Coturnix japonica: one gene and its partners. The protein of the gene in region 2 purifies or fractionates together with the protein of the main gene of each other region. This does not show direct contact. Links are inferred from orthologs where the notes say so. Each region holds a gene or a part of one and is shown on either strand. Other genes may lie near its edges. The genes, in order: IKBKB, TRAF3IP2 and CD40.

The links.
Region 1: the proteins of TRAF3IP2 (region 2) and IKBKB purify together in Homo sapiens (affinity purification with western blotting; 3 studies listed by BioGRID, with this or other methods). This does not show direct contact. The link is inferred for Coturnix japonica from reciprocal best matches to the Homo sapiens genes TRAF3IP2 and IKBKB.
Region 3: the proteins of TRAF3IP2 (region 2) and CD40 purify together in Homo sapiens (affinity purification with western blotting, with the first as the bait; 3 studies listed by BioGRID). This does not show direct contact. The link is inferred for Coturnix japonica from reciprocal best matches to the Homo sapiens genes TRAF3IP2 and CD40.

What each region holds. Positions count from the first base shown.
Region 1 is NC_029537.1:4,085,774-4,089,886, reverse strand, and holds the start of IKBKB (inhibitor of nuclear factor kappa-B kinase subunit beta), read right to left. Parts: upstream 2,841-4,113; 5' UTR 2,779-2,840; coding exon 2,674-2,778; intron 2,595-2,673; coding exon 2,500-2,594; intron 1,367-2,499; coding exon 1,249-1,366; intron 24-1,248; coding exon 1-23.
Region 2 is NC_029518.1:60,097,902-60,101,544, reverse strand, and holds part of TRAF3IP2 (adapter protein CIKS), read right to left. Parts: intron 1,196-3,643; 5' UTR 1,125-1,195; coding exon 1,109-1,124; intron 890-1,108; coding exon 170-889; intron 1-169. UniProt on the Homo sapiens protein: E3 ubiquitin ligase that catalyzes 'Lys-63'-linked polyubiquitination of target protein, enhancing protein-protein interaction and cell signaling. Transfers ubiquitin from E2 ubiquitin-conjugating enzyme UBE2V1-UBE2N to substrate protein.
Region 3 is NC_029535.1:9,595,361-9,599,460, reverse strand, and holds the start of CD40 (tumor necrosis factor receptor superfamily member 5), read right to left. Parts: upstream 2,941-4,100; 5' UTR 2,596-2,940; coding exon 2,403-2,595; intron 2,219-2,402; coding exon 2,093-2,218; intron 2,004-2,092; coding exon 1,860-2,003; intron 1,714-1,859; coding exon 1,614-1,713; intron 942-1,613; coding exon 880-941; intron 797-879; coding exon 698-796; intron 523-697; coding exon 497-522; intron 249-496; coding exon 105-248; 3' UTR 1-104.

The DNA of each region.
Region 1 (4,113 bases), on a different chromosome or scaffold from region 2:
CAATTCTCCAGCTGATTCAGGTACTGCAAGAAAACACCAAAATGACAGCTTCTCCACCCTATATCCCATTGAAGGATCGCAGTCCCACGTATTCTCAAAACACAAGATGTTCAGGCATGAACAATTAAGTTTTTTTTTATTTGTTTGTTTTTTTACAGACAAAACCATGGAGCTGGGACCTCTCCTAGCAATAATTAGGGCTTCAAGCCTCAGTGCATCCATAGGATGAGAAAGGGAGAGTGGAAAGTCAGTGTTACTGCAACTTTGCTGGGTCCTTCATAAGCATTTCCCCTGGAGCCTAGCAATACCAGCTCCACTGTCAGCTGTAAGTTACAGGTCTCATCTATGGGCAGGTTATAGCACTGTCAGCTGTAAGTTACAGGTCTCATCTATGGGCAGGTTATAGCAAAGTCAGCTGTAAGTTACAGGTCTCATCTATGGGCAGGTTATAGCGAAGGTTTAAAAAAGCAGTAAGATAAGAAGCAGCACTAGTAACTGTATTTTTTTCCTATTACAGACAGGGCCTGCACCTTGAGCTACAATGGTCTTGGACGTGCTCCAAATCCTGTTGCATATCCTTCACACATGCTCTCATCTTCTACATGCAAAATTGCTGCATTGTTACTTGCAGACAAATAAAAGTCAAAAGCCTCAGAAAGCACTAGAGATTTTCAGAACTTTATCAAGGACTAACGTGTAAAATCCTCTTGGTATCACATAAAGAATTAGGAAGCATCAGAACATGAAAATATGCTTTAAAGAGAAACTCCTAAAAAGAAGCCCCTAGGTTCCATTCCGCTGGGAAGCTAATCCAGCTTTTAACCTTTCACCACCACCACCTGTCTCAGCTGCAGCTGGGACAGTACTGCGTTCTTCAGAGTGCAGGGCATGACACCGTGTATTGGTTCTATAAGAAAAACAATGCTGATACACACCAACGTTTATAGCTGCTGCTAAGCAGTACTGCACAGCATAAGGGCCATTCTCAGCAAAGGCCCAAGTTACTAGGAGGGAACAGGATTAGGACAGCTGACTCAAACTGATGGTGAACAGGATATGAGGGGCTGAGGGCCGGCTCTTCCAGGCTTATTTGTCATAATAATGATCTATTCTCTGACTCAGTAAATAGTTTTTATCTCAACCCACCGAGTCCCACTTTTGTCTTTCAGTTCTCTCCCCCATCTCACTGGGAAGGAGAGGACAGTGAGTGAATGACTGGCACCTCACAGGAGCACCTGGTGAGCTCACCTTGCGGAGGTCCCCACCCTGGCAGTACTCCATGGCCAGCAATGGCAAATCATTCGGTGCAAGCTTCTGCATTCCCTCAGGAACATCACGGGCAGCCACCACATTGGGATGGTTCAGCCTGAGAAACAGAAATAAGGCAAATGGACACCGCACCAGAACCACACCTGCACAGCCTCACACAGTCATGGTTGTCACATTAAGTCCTATAAGGCCATTAATGCTTTTAGAAACTGAAAGTCAGCTCTAACAGCCTGCAATTTATCCATCCCTCACAGGCCTACAAACTCATTCCAGCTCTTTGCACACCCTATGTGTGCCACAGATGTATCACAGGTGTGACATGGAGCTACAGGACGAGCTCAATGCCCCGCCGGGCCGGTATCACCCCCCAGCAAGTTGTTTAGCAAGAGCTAATCAACCCAACACCCCGTGTTAACCAACCCAGAACCCCACAGCACAGCCCTGTGCAGATGCTAACACAGCAGAGCTGCTACGAGGAAAGCCTTAGACCCGAAGCTCTCAGGAATAACAAAGACCTTCAGCACGTCCTCGCTCCATGCCGGACCAGCCGCCCCTCCTGCCCGTACCTCAGTGCAGCCATTACTATAACGCCTATGCCCCTGTGAGGACAGGCTGAGGGAGTTGGGTTTGTTCAGCCTGGAGAAGAGAAGGTTGCGGGGTGACCTCATTGCAGCCTTTCAATACCTGAAGGGAACTTACTCCCAGGAGGGGAGTAAACTCTTGGAAAGGGCTGACAATAGCAGGACTAGGGGAAATGGTTTTAAGTTAAAAGAGGGAAGATTTAGGTTGGATGTTAGGGGGAAGTTCTTCATAGGAGCGTGGTTAGGCCCTGGAACAGGCTGCCCAGGGAGGTTGTGGATGCTCCGTCCTTGGAGGTGTTCAAGACCAGGTTGGACGGGGCCATGGGCAACCTGATCTATGGAGTCTCTATGGGGTCTATGGTGTCTCTATGGGGATCTATGGGGTCTCCTGGGCAACCTGATCTAGTAAATGTGTATGTTCGGTGGCCCTGCCAGGCAGGGGGGTTTGGAACTACATGATCCTTGAGGTCCCTGCCAACCCGAGTCATTCTGTCATTCTATAACGCGCCCATCAGGGCCGGGCCCGGCAGCGCGGGGGCGTTGGGCTCCACTCGGCCCGTCCCGCAGCGCCAGGCCCCGCTGCTCCCCATCACCTCCTCACGATCTCTATGTCCCTCACCTCTTCACGATCTCTATTTATCTGCCTCACCTCTTCATGATCTGTATCTCCAGGGACCAGCGCTCCCGGTTCCTCGGGCTCAGCTCCTGCCGGCACTGCTTGATGGCCACCTGCTCGCCGGTCTCCTGCGGACACAGCGCGGGGTCGGCTGAGCGCCGGTCGGGCCGGGCCCGGCGGAGCGGGACGGGACGGGCCGCCTCCTACCTTGTTGTGCCAGCGGATGACGTTGCCGAAGCCGCCGGTACCGAGGCGCTCCTTCATCTCCCAGGGGCCGCAGGTCTGCGCCTGCAGAGCCGGCGGGCGGCTCATGGCGGACGGAGCGCGGCGCCTCCGCGGGGCCTGGGCCGTCTCCGCCGGCACTTCCGGCTCCGGAGGCACGTGGTACGAGGCGGCCTTAAAGGGGCCGCGACCGCCTTCCGTCAAGTGAGGGCTACAAAGGCGATAAGGAGCAATAAATTCAGCTTTTCCAATGAAGAAACTCTGAGACGTAGGACTCAGGCTGCAGTAGGGCCGCCTTCCGTGGTTGGTATGTATTGTAAAAATGATGTGGTACTTACCACAGAATCACGGAATTATCAAGGTTGGAAAAGACCTAGAAGATCATCCGGTCCAACCATCACCAATACTTCCCAGTTAAATCATATCCCTCAACACAACATCCAGGCAACATAAAGCAAGAAAACACGTTTCTGAAGCCTTTTACACTTCCTGCATTTTGCACCTGGTGTGGAACTGAAAGAATCATAGAATCATAGAATTACCCAGGTTGGAAAAGACTTTGAAGATCATCAAGTCCAACCGTAGCCTAACCAGTACCCTATAACCACAGTACCCTATAACCATAGTACCCTATAACCATAGTACTCTATAACCATAGTACACTATAACCATAGTACCCTATAACCATAGTACTCTATAACCATAGTACCCTATAACCATAGTACTCTAACTCTAAAAACCCTACACTAAATCGTATCCCTGAGTACCACACCCAAACAGCTCTTAAACACAACCGGGGATGAAGCAGAGGCTTCAGGCAGCACCTGAGCAGCTGAACAGTACGTAGGGATCCTAACTTAGCAGCCTCTAAAAAAACCCTGTCCTGATGCAGGATCAGCTGGGAGGTAAAGCAGCGGACACTGCTGAATGGGGAAGGTGCTGTTACTGCTTGCTTTCCTAAAGCACAGTAAGAAGCACACAGAGCACCCACACCACTCTCTAGAAAGCTACAGCTGACCTTAAGCTCAAAAAGCTGGGAAATAACAACTTCTGAAATCCTCACTGGAAGCCATTACTTCATTAGGAACTTTAGAACTCCAATAGCAAAAAAAAAATCATCTTTAAAAGAGATAGAAATTAGCCCGTTTGTTCAGCAGAGCCCAACCAACCTTTCTCAACACAGTCCCATTTGTTCCTAAAGCAGATGTATGGCACTTATGTTCACACGTGCAGATGCATATGACAACCTTGACACAGGTTTCCATACAGAAAAGACTTAAACATTCAAGATAAAGTTTCCTCTTTGCCAACGTGCAAAATGACCCTCAGCATGTTTGCTGACAGAGGATTCTGTGCACTTACGTCCTGAAAATGAGAGGTCCTAACATTTCTTCATTGATATTAATTAACTTGGGAGTTGATTCC
Region 2 (3,643 bases):
TCTGGCTGAATAACCCTAAAACCCAGAAATATGAAATGGACTGCAAATAATTGTTTACTCGTTAATAATTGCATGCTGCAAAGGAAATACAGTAGGAATATGCCAGCTCAGTGTATGATGCCCGCAGTGCCTCCAGAAAACCTCCTCCATGGTGAGCGGTGCTACTTACATGGGCCGTGCAGTTGCTGCTCTGCCATATAACGGTGCCCACAGAAGCCATGGGCTTGTGCAGAGGGGTTGGGATGGGGCAAGTGCTGGCACCTGGGGTCCTGCTGAGGCTCCGGTCCAAAAAACTCTCTGGAGATCAGTGGTCCTGGGAGGTCCTGGGGGTTCACCATGGACACAAGTGGTAAGGGGAGCTCCAGGTGCCTGACACCCATGATGTCTTGGGACTGGGAGTTGTAACCTGTGTCCTCAGTTGCCAGCTCTGCTGGGAGTTTGTCTCCTGAAGGCTGCTGTGACCATGAACTCCCTTTGTTGTTCTCCTCCAAAGAGTCCTCAGGAGCATCATGCGAGCTCCGCTCTGACTTACTGGAGTTGGTATCAGCTGAAAGCAGCGGTCCTGGCTGCATGTCTGATTTGTCCATAGTTAAAAGATGCATCTTGGAACGAACTACTTCCAGTAATGATTCACTGGGAGAACAGAAGCGCCCACATCCATCAGGATCGGTATATTCTGACCATGGCCTGCTGTCCGGCCCCATGGCCAGCTGGTGATGCGCCAGTGCTCTGCAGAGATGTGCTGCATTGGCACGTGGTCTCTGGCACTCCTCATCCTCCACATTCTCCACAGAAGGCTGTGAAGCCTCTTCCAAGACAGGTTCAGGAAATGGGGAATACAGCATGGATTCATCCACTTCCACCGGTATGCTTCGGCTCACAAAAGTGCCTGAAAAGACAAGAAACGCTATAGATTGACCTCCAGAAAGACAAGTGCCTATTACCAGTCACTGCTCAGTGACGGTCAGTTGGAATACTGAAGAGCAGTATGCATTCTTCATATTCACGTTAAGTTCTTCTTAGAAGGACAGGTAGAAATTTTTGGCAAAGCAATAAAGGAGAGGGTTGGCTGGAGTGCAGGCAGCACAGTGTTAGAATCAGGACTAACCTGACACAGAGGCCATTTCCCAGTTTTGTAGTCACACGAGAAATGGGAGTCAACTGCCGTGCTGCAAGGTCAGAATTTTCCAGCAAACTGGAAAACAAGAGAAATGTGAAGATGGTACAGTTTCACACAGGCAATAATCCCAAAATAACTCTATCTCAGGGACTGGAAAAGAAATACCGGTTAGAGCTCTGGAAATCACATTTTGTAGAACAGACAGTTTTATGGGATTTCTGAATCTTACTGTTCCTGCTGAGACAAGGGGAAAAAGAAGCACATGAACTGTCTCTCATAGGTAATTTCTGCACCTGAAAAAAGAGAAGGCTGTTTAAGTATGGAGATTTGGCTCAGGCATATTCCAAGGAATACAACCACGTGCCACATTTTACTCCAAACCTTCTAATAATAATAGCTTTGTAGTGATCCCTTGGATCTGAACTTCACTGCACACATACCTGAGCAATTCAAAATCCACATCTGGCTTCTAAGCGATGCTGTTTATTTTATCAAACCAGTTAATCCATTCTATTATAACACGGTTATTATTTCAAACTATTGAGAATTATAAGACAATTTAGAGACTTTGGTTACTGTTTGGATTATTTTTTTTTTTCCCCATTCTTCAGAATTACTTTGGGCTCCAGACATCAAAATCCTCCCTGCCCTTGGGGATACTGTTAGTAAGTTTGGCCCAGCCAAACAGTCCCTGATGACAGACGTCTCTACTCCACCTTTGCTTAGAATGACAGCAGCAATGACGGGTGAGTGATGTGCTCTTGCCGTACTCACCCACTGGAACGAGAAGTACAAGCCTTACTGCAGGCTCACACACAGCATCCCATTGATGTTGAAACAAAACACTGCTGGATGTAAAAGAAAACCTTTGGAAAGCACAAGTATAGTTTAACTTCTCTTCAGTGTTCTCTGTCCTACCCAGCCTGCTGGGCTGCTCAGAAAGGGCTCTGTGACACTCCTGAAGCTCACAGGTGAACCAGCAGAAGCTTAAGGCACAACGTTCACTCACTATCAGTTTCCATATCTGTATGTCACCGGGTATCACAGAGGGAAGAAGGCTCAAGCACACGGTCACTGAACTAAAGCAGGAAGTGGAAAACACCCCTGGTCCTTCACCCTGAGCTGGAGGCAGCCGAGGCCAAAGCGCAGCAGAGCAACGCGCTGATGCAGCTTCCCATACCTAAGCCTTTGATTCACAGACTTTGGCACAGAAACAGATCAGCACATTTTATGTCAACATGCTGATCTCTGCAGCCATCTTCATCCTCTGGTATTGGGGTGGAGATTAACTTGCTCCCACCAGGTGCTACCCCCTGACATGGGGTACAGAGAAACAAGTCTGGGACTCATGACCCCAGCTGTTTTCCCTCTACTGCATGGAAAAAGCCAACATCCCAATAGGAGCATTCTGAAGAATGGTCTAAGCACTCAGCAACGGAAATGACAGTGTTTGACAAGAGCATCTGACTTGAAAGCCTGGTAAGGAAAGTTAAAATCACAGCATGTTTGAGGAGATCTCAGTGATTCAAGGATTCAGCTTCAGTCACACAGCAGCTTGAACAGAAAGTTCAAATGAAGAACATACTCAGACAGCCGCAGCATTAAAAACAATTGAACAGGATCACAGGGAGGCACAAGGCAGTGCCCCAGCCTCTACCCTGGCTCCCACAGCCATATCTTACAAAAGCAAAGAACATGCCCAGTCCCACAGGGCGAGAGCAAGGCTTTATGTTTGTGCTGATCTGATGAAGTGATGTGCGTTCCCCCCTGAAAGTACCTCTGGCATAGCAAACTCAGTGTAACATTTACCGGGAAGTAGGATAAAAACTGTGCTTTGCAGCTGCTGGGCCGCAATGTAAATATTCTTCCTTTGTGTAACATAAAACCCACCTATGCAGAAGATCTACCACAGATTCCAGATACACATCTTACATTATAAGAACATCCACAGGGAGAGTTTTCCTGGGATAATTATAGCAACATAATGATGTTGGCAACATTTCCCATGTAGACAAGTCCTCTGAGCAGCCATTATCTACAGCAGCACAGCGAACATGCTGCTGCTCTGACAGAAAGGAGGGCCCTGTGCTCAGCTGGCACAAATCATACTGCACACTCTTACTCCCTCATCATAGAGCAGCTCCAATGAGCTGGTTTCTCTTCAGAAAGGGCAGGCTCAGCTGCAGGCACCTGGGCATGGCTCCTCCCCTTGAGCAACACGTTTTGTCTGAGCACCTTACCAGCAGGTAGAATTCTTCACAAACACCCAACACGGCATTTTAGGAGCAAATCTGTAAGGCCTGATACACAGCGGCATTTCTTCAATGGTCTCTGAAACAGTAAGATCGAAATGCTGGAAACCACATTGAATCCAGATCCTCTACATTAACAGCTGCTGGTTTAGCTCCATGTCAAGAACAGATTTTCTACAGAGAAACCAAGAACTCAGTCCAGAGCTTGGGGAAGCAAACAGAGGTCTCTCTGTTGACTTCAGCAGGCATCAGATGGGATTTAAGATTTCAA
Region 3 (4,100 bases), on a different chromosome or scaffold from region 2:
GTCGCTGTGCTGGCGGCCGGGCCCTGTGCTCACCTCCCACCCCAATGCAGGGGGGTCAGCGCTGTCCCTGCCCGCTGCTCCCATGGAGGGCAGCTCCCACGCTGTCACAGCTGCTCCTGCTCTGCGATGCGGCTCTCCTTGCCGTCCTCCTGTGTCACGGGCTGCCCTCCCAGCAGAGTCTCCTGCACTGGGAAGTCCACCTCCTCGGGCTGCTGCATCTCCAGCTCTCTGGGCATCTCGGCCTCAGTCTGTGTGCGGGCAGGAGGTCAGGGCCAGGAGCAGCAGTCACAGCCCCTGCCCGCAGCCGCATCCCTCCATGGGATCCTCCTGCACTCACTCCCACTGCAGCACAGGAGCCTCACCCCATGTGGGTTCCCTGTGTGGGTTCCTGGTGGCCCCGTCCCCATTGAACAGCCCTAAGATAGCCCCCGTTCTGCAGCCCACACATCCCTACCGTGCCAGTAGGGACCCCAACCCACGGCTGGAACCAACTCACCTGTTTCGGCCCACGGCGCCTGAGGTCTGCAGGGAAAGGAGAGAAGGCTGCTGTTGGAGCAGGTCCTGCCCTGCCTGGCCCCCAGCCCTGCAACAAGCTCTGAGCTCAGAGCTGGAAGGGCTGGGTGCCACAGTGACACCCCCTGAAGGGCCTCCCCGTTTCTGGTAGAACTGCTGCTGCCTTCCCCACTTGGCTCCTCACCTGTGTGCACCAGGCAGTAGATGCAGATGCCCACCAGGCAGGTGACAACAGCAGCTGTGATGGGGATCAGCACTGACAGCGATGAGCGCCGGCTCGACTCTGCCAGGGGATGGGGACTCAGTGGGCTGCACAGAACTCCAGCCCATCCCAGCTCTGCACCAGGCAGGGTATGGAGCACTTACCACAGATCACATCTGAAGTGTTTGTCCCTTTCACTTTCACCACGAGCCCCTTTTCCTCGCAGCTGCAGGCAAAGAATGAGACTGTGTCATCACAGTGGGAATCCCACAGCCATGGGGCTGGGAGCCAAGAGCATGCAGTCAGCAGCCCCTGGGCCCTGGGAGCTCATGGTCAGGGCACAGCAATGGGGCTCCTGGGGTGGGATGGGGATGGAGATGCCAGGGCCCTGTCAGAAGCCATTGGAACTGAAAGAGGTGGGCATGTGCCTTGGGTTGAGGCACAGGAGGGGGATACTGGGGCTGGGGCACTTCAGCTACTGCAGAACAGCTCAGAGATGGCTCGATAGCATGCCACAAAGTGGCTCAGTGGGGAGGTAATTTCTGGCCATAGATAGGAGCAAAGTGAAATCCAATGGCTGGCAGCTGAGGCGAGACTAATACAGTCCAGAGGTAACGCTCACATTTCTACCAGGGAACATGAGGAACTTTTCAGCCACTTTTTACAGACAGGAGTGAGCTGGGCCTGGAAACCCCCCCGGGGTCTGGCAGTCCATGAACTGAGGGAACACCACAACAACTGCCACCAGCTCAGTGACCTGGGTCTCACTGCACCCTGCTGCCCTCACTCCTGCCCTGCACAGGCCATCCCAGTGCCTCGTCCCAGTGCCACGAGAGGTGACAGCAGGGAATGTGCAGAGAGGAACAGGGATGGAGCGTGGGGAGTGGCTGACACTGACCTTGTCCAGAGGTGGCACGGCTCGGTTTTAGAAGATACATTGGAGAAGGTGCCTTCTGCACAGGGCTCACACGGTGAGGTCATCTGGGCTTCGGCCATGGCTGGAAGGGAGTGGAGGTTGCAATGCAGCCCTCACAAAGCTCTGGTAGGGCCCCATGCAGAGGAAGCCTCCATCTCTGGGAGCACCTGAGGTTGATGCCGCCAGCACATGGGGCCCATGGCAGGGATAGGGGTGGCTGGGTCTCACCTGCCACAAAGCCAAAGCCCTGCTTGCAGGGCTCATTCTCCACGCAGGTCTGGCAGCTGGCATCAGAGCAGTGCATGCCAGCCCGGCACTGGCACACGGTGTTGTGTGTTGTGTTTCCATGTCTCTTCACGATGAGGCCAGCGTCTGTGAAAGGGAGTGGGGACAAAGTGAGAGTGAGCCTGGATGGAGTGCAGCCCCTGCAGCCCCACACGCTGGGGACATGGAGCACTTACTGTCCTCACAGATGTCATGGGGCGTGCAGTGCCTCTCCTTAGTCCAGCCCTGCTGGTAGTGTCCATTCTCACAGGGTGTGCAGACAGAGTTTTCCGTGTCGTTGCATTCAGAGACCAGCTTCTTTCCTGCAAGACGGGCTGGTGAGGGGGGAAAAGGGAGCTTTCCCCCACAGGCAGCAGATCTGACAGCAGGACGTGGGAGCACCAGGGGCTGTAGCTGTTGAGGCCACTGTGGCATGATGTTCAACTGCCAAATGCAGCCCCAGCAGCCACGGTGCAGGACCTCAGGGAGGAGAAGGCATTTCTGTACCTGGCTGGCATCGGTTGCAGCATCTGCCCTTGTGCTCGTACTGCTTGTCAGAGCAATTCACAGCATCACCAGGCTGCCCACACTGGAAGAGATGAGACCCATGAAGAGATGCTGCTCTGCCACACTCCTGCACAGCTGCACATCCTCCGAGTCGTGCCCCAAGGTGAGGTTTTCCTTGCACCACATTTCCCATGCCTGGGCTAACCACAGACCGCAGCAGATCTGCCTGCGCTGCCTGGCACTGCCAGCTCTCTCTTTGAAGTGGGATGGCAGTGGCTCCTGTAGGGCAGCCCCGTGCTTTCCCAGGTTTCCTACGGGGTGGTGATTGCTCTTCACTTTGGGTGACTGCCAGCGCCACCAGTGCAGCAGTGCTGGGCAGGGGGAGCGGTGCCAGCTGTGCCTCCTGGGCAGGAGCATCAAACCCACACAGACTGCTGCGTCTGCTCTTGGTCAGCCCCAGCACGGTCCTGTGGGCAGTCCTGGTGTGAAGGGGCACTAGCTTGGGATGCCTGACTCTGTAGAGGGGAACTGACCCCCCCCCCCACCATGTGTCTGTGACTTCAGGCAGGAAGGGGAACCAAAAGTGAGCTCAGACACCCCACCCTGCCCCTGCTTCCCCCAGGGCCCGGCCTTGCATCGAACCCACAAGACCCCATAACAGAGCTCAGCCCCTCCAGCAGGGACAACACGCCCCATGCCTGTCCCATGCTTTGCCTCGACACAGGCTGGGATTGCTGCTGACAGGGACCACGTCGCCCTCTCCGCACCTCAAATCCACAGCTGCGCCCCAACCGCCCGTGATGGGGATTGTGGGACAAGGGGAGGCACATGGAGCTGGAAGGGCAGGGACCGCCGAGCCCCTGCTGGGGGAATCTCAGCCACGAGAACGAGGAACGACGAAGCTCAACGCCCGGGAGTGGGAACCGTGCTCCGGGCACCCAGCCAGGGGCTCCCCGAGCCCTTCCCGGCACAGCGCTGGACGGCGGCCCCGGGACCGGAGCTCAGCGGCCCGACGGCGCCGGGCGCTCCCCCCCCACCCCGCAAAGCATCGCCGCATCCCGGTCCCGTTTCGGGCCGTGATCACGGAGCGCAGCGTTGCAGCCCCGGCCCGGCCCCGCTCCCACCCCGCGGGACGCCGCACTTACGTTCAGGAGCAGCGCGCACAGCAGCCCCAGACCGAGCCGCCCCATGGCCCGAGCCGCGCCCATCCGACCCGACCCGAATCGAACCGAGCCGTGCGGAGCCGGGCAGCCGATATTAACGCCTCGACCCGTTTCCGCCCAGGAAGGGGCCGCAGGGGCCGCCCATCCTGCAGTCACCGGGCTGAACGTCCCGAGACAAAGTCCCCACCGGCAGCACCCGCCGCCCCGGGACTTTCCCGAGCTTCAGAGCGTAACCGAGAGCCGTGCGGGGCCGGGGCTGTGCCCGCAGCTCCCCCGCACGGTGCGACCGGCCCGGCCGAGCTACGGGTGGATGTCAGCGTGTAACCGGCTGCTTCCTGGGTGAAGGAGGAGCGGCCGCAGGCAGGAATCTGCCCTGGGAAGCAGAGGAGATGTTTGATCTGGCCCCGACAGCTCCTTCCTCATGCAGAAGTGCGAGGTTTCACTTCACTTTTAAGAAGTCCACAGGGCCCTTCCGTGCTCCCCATGGGCTCCGGCATCTGCTTAGAGTTCCCAGAATCACATCAGCTCAGTACGG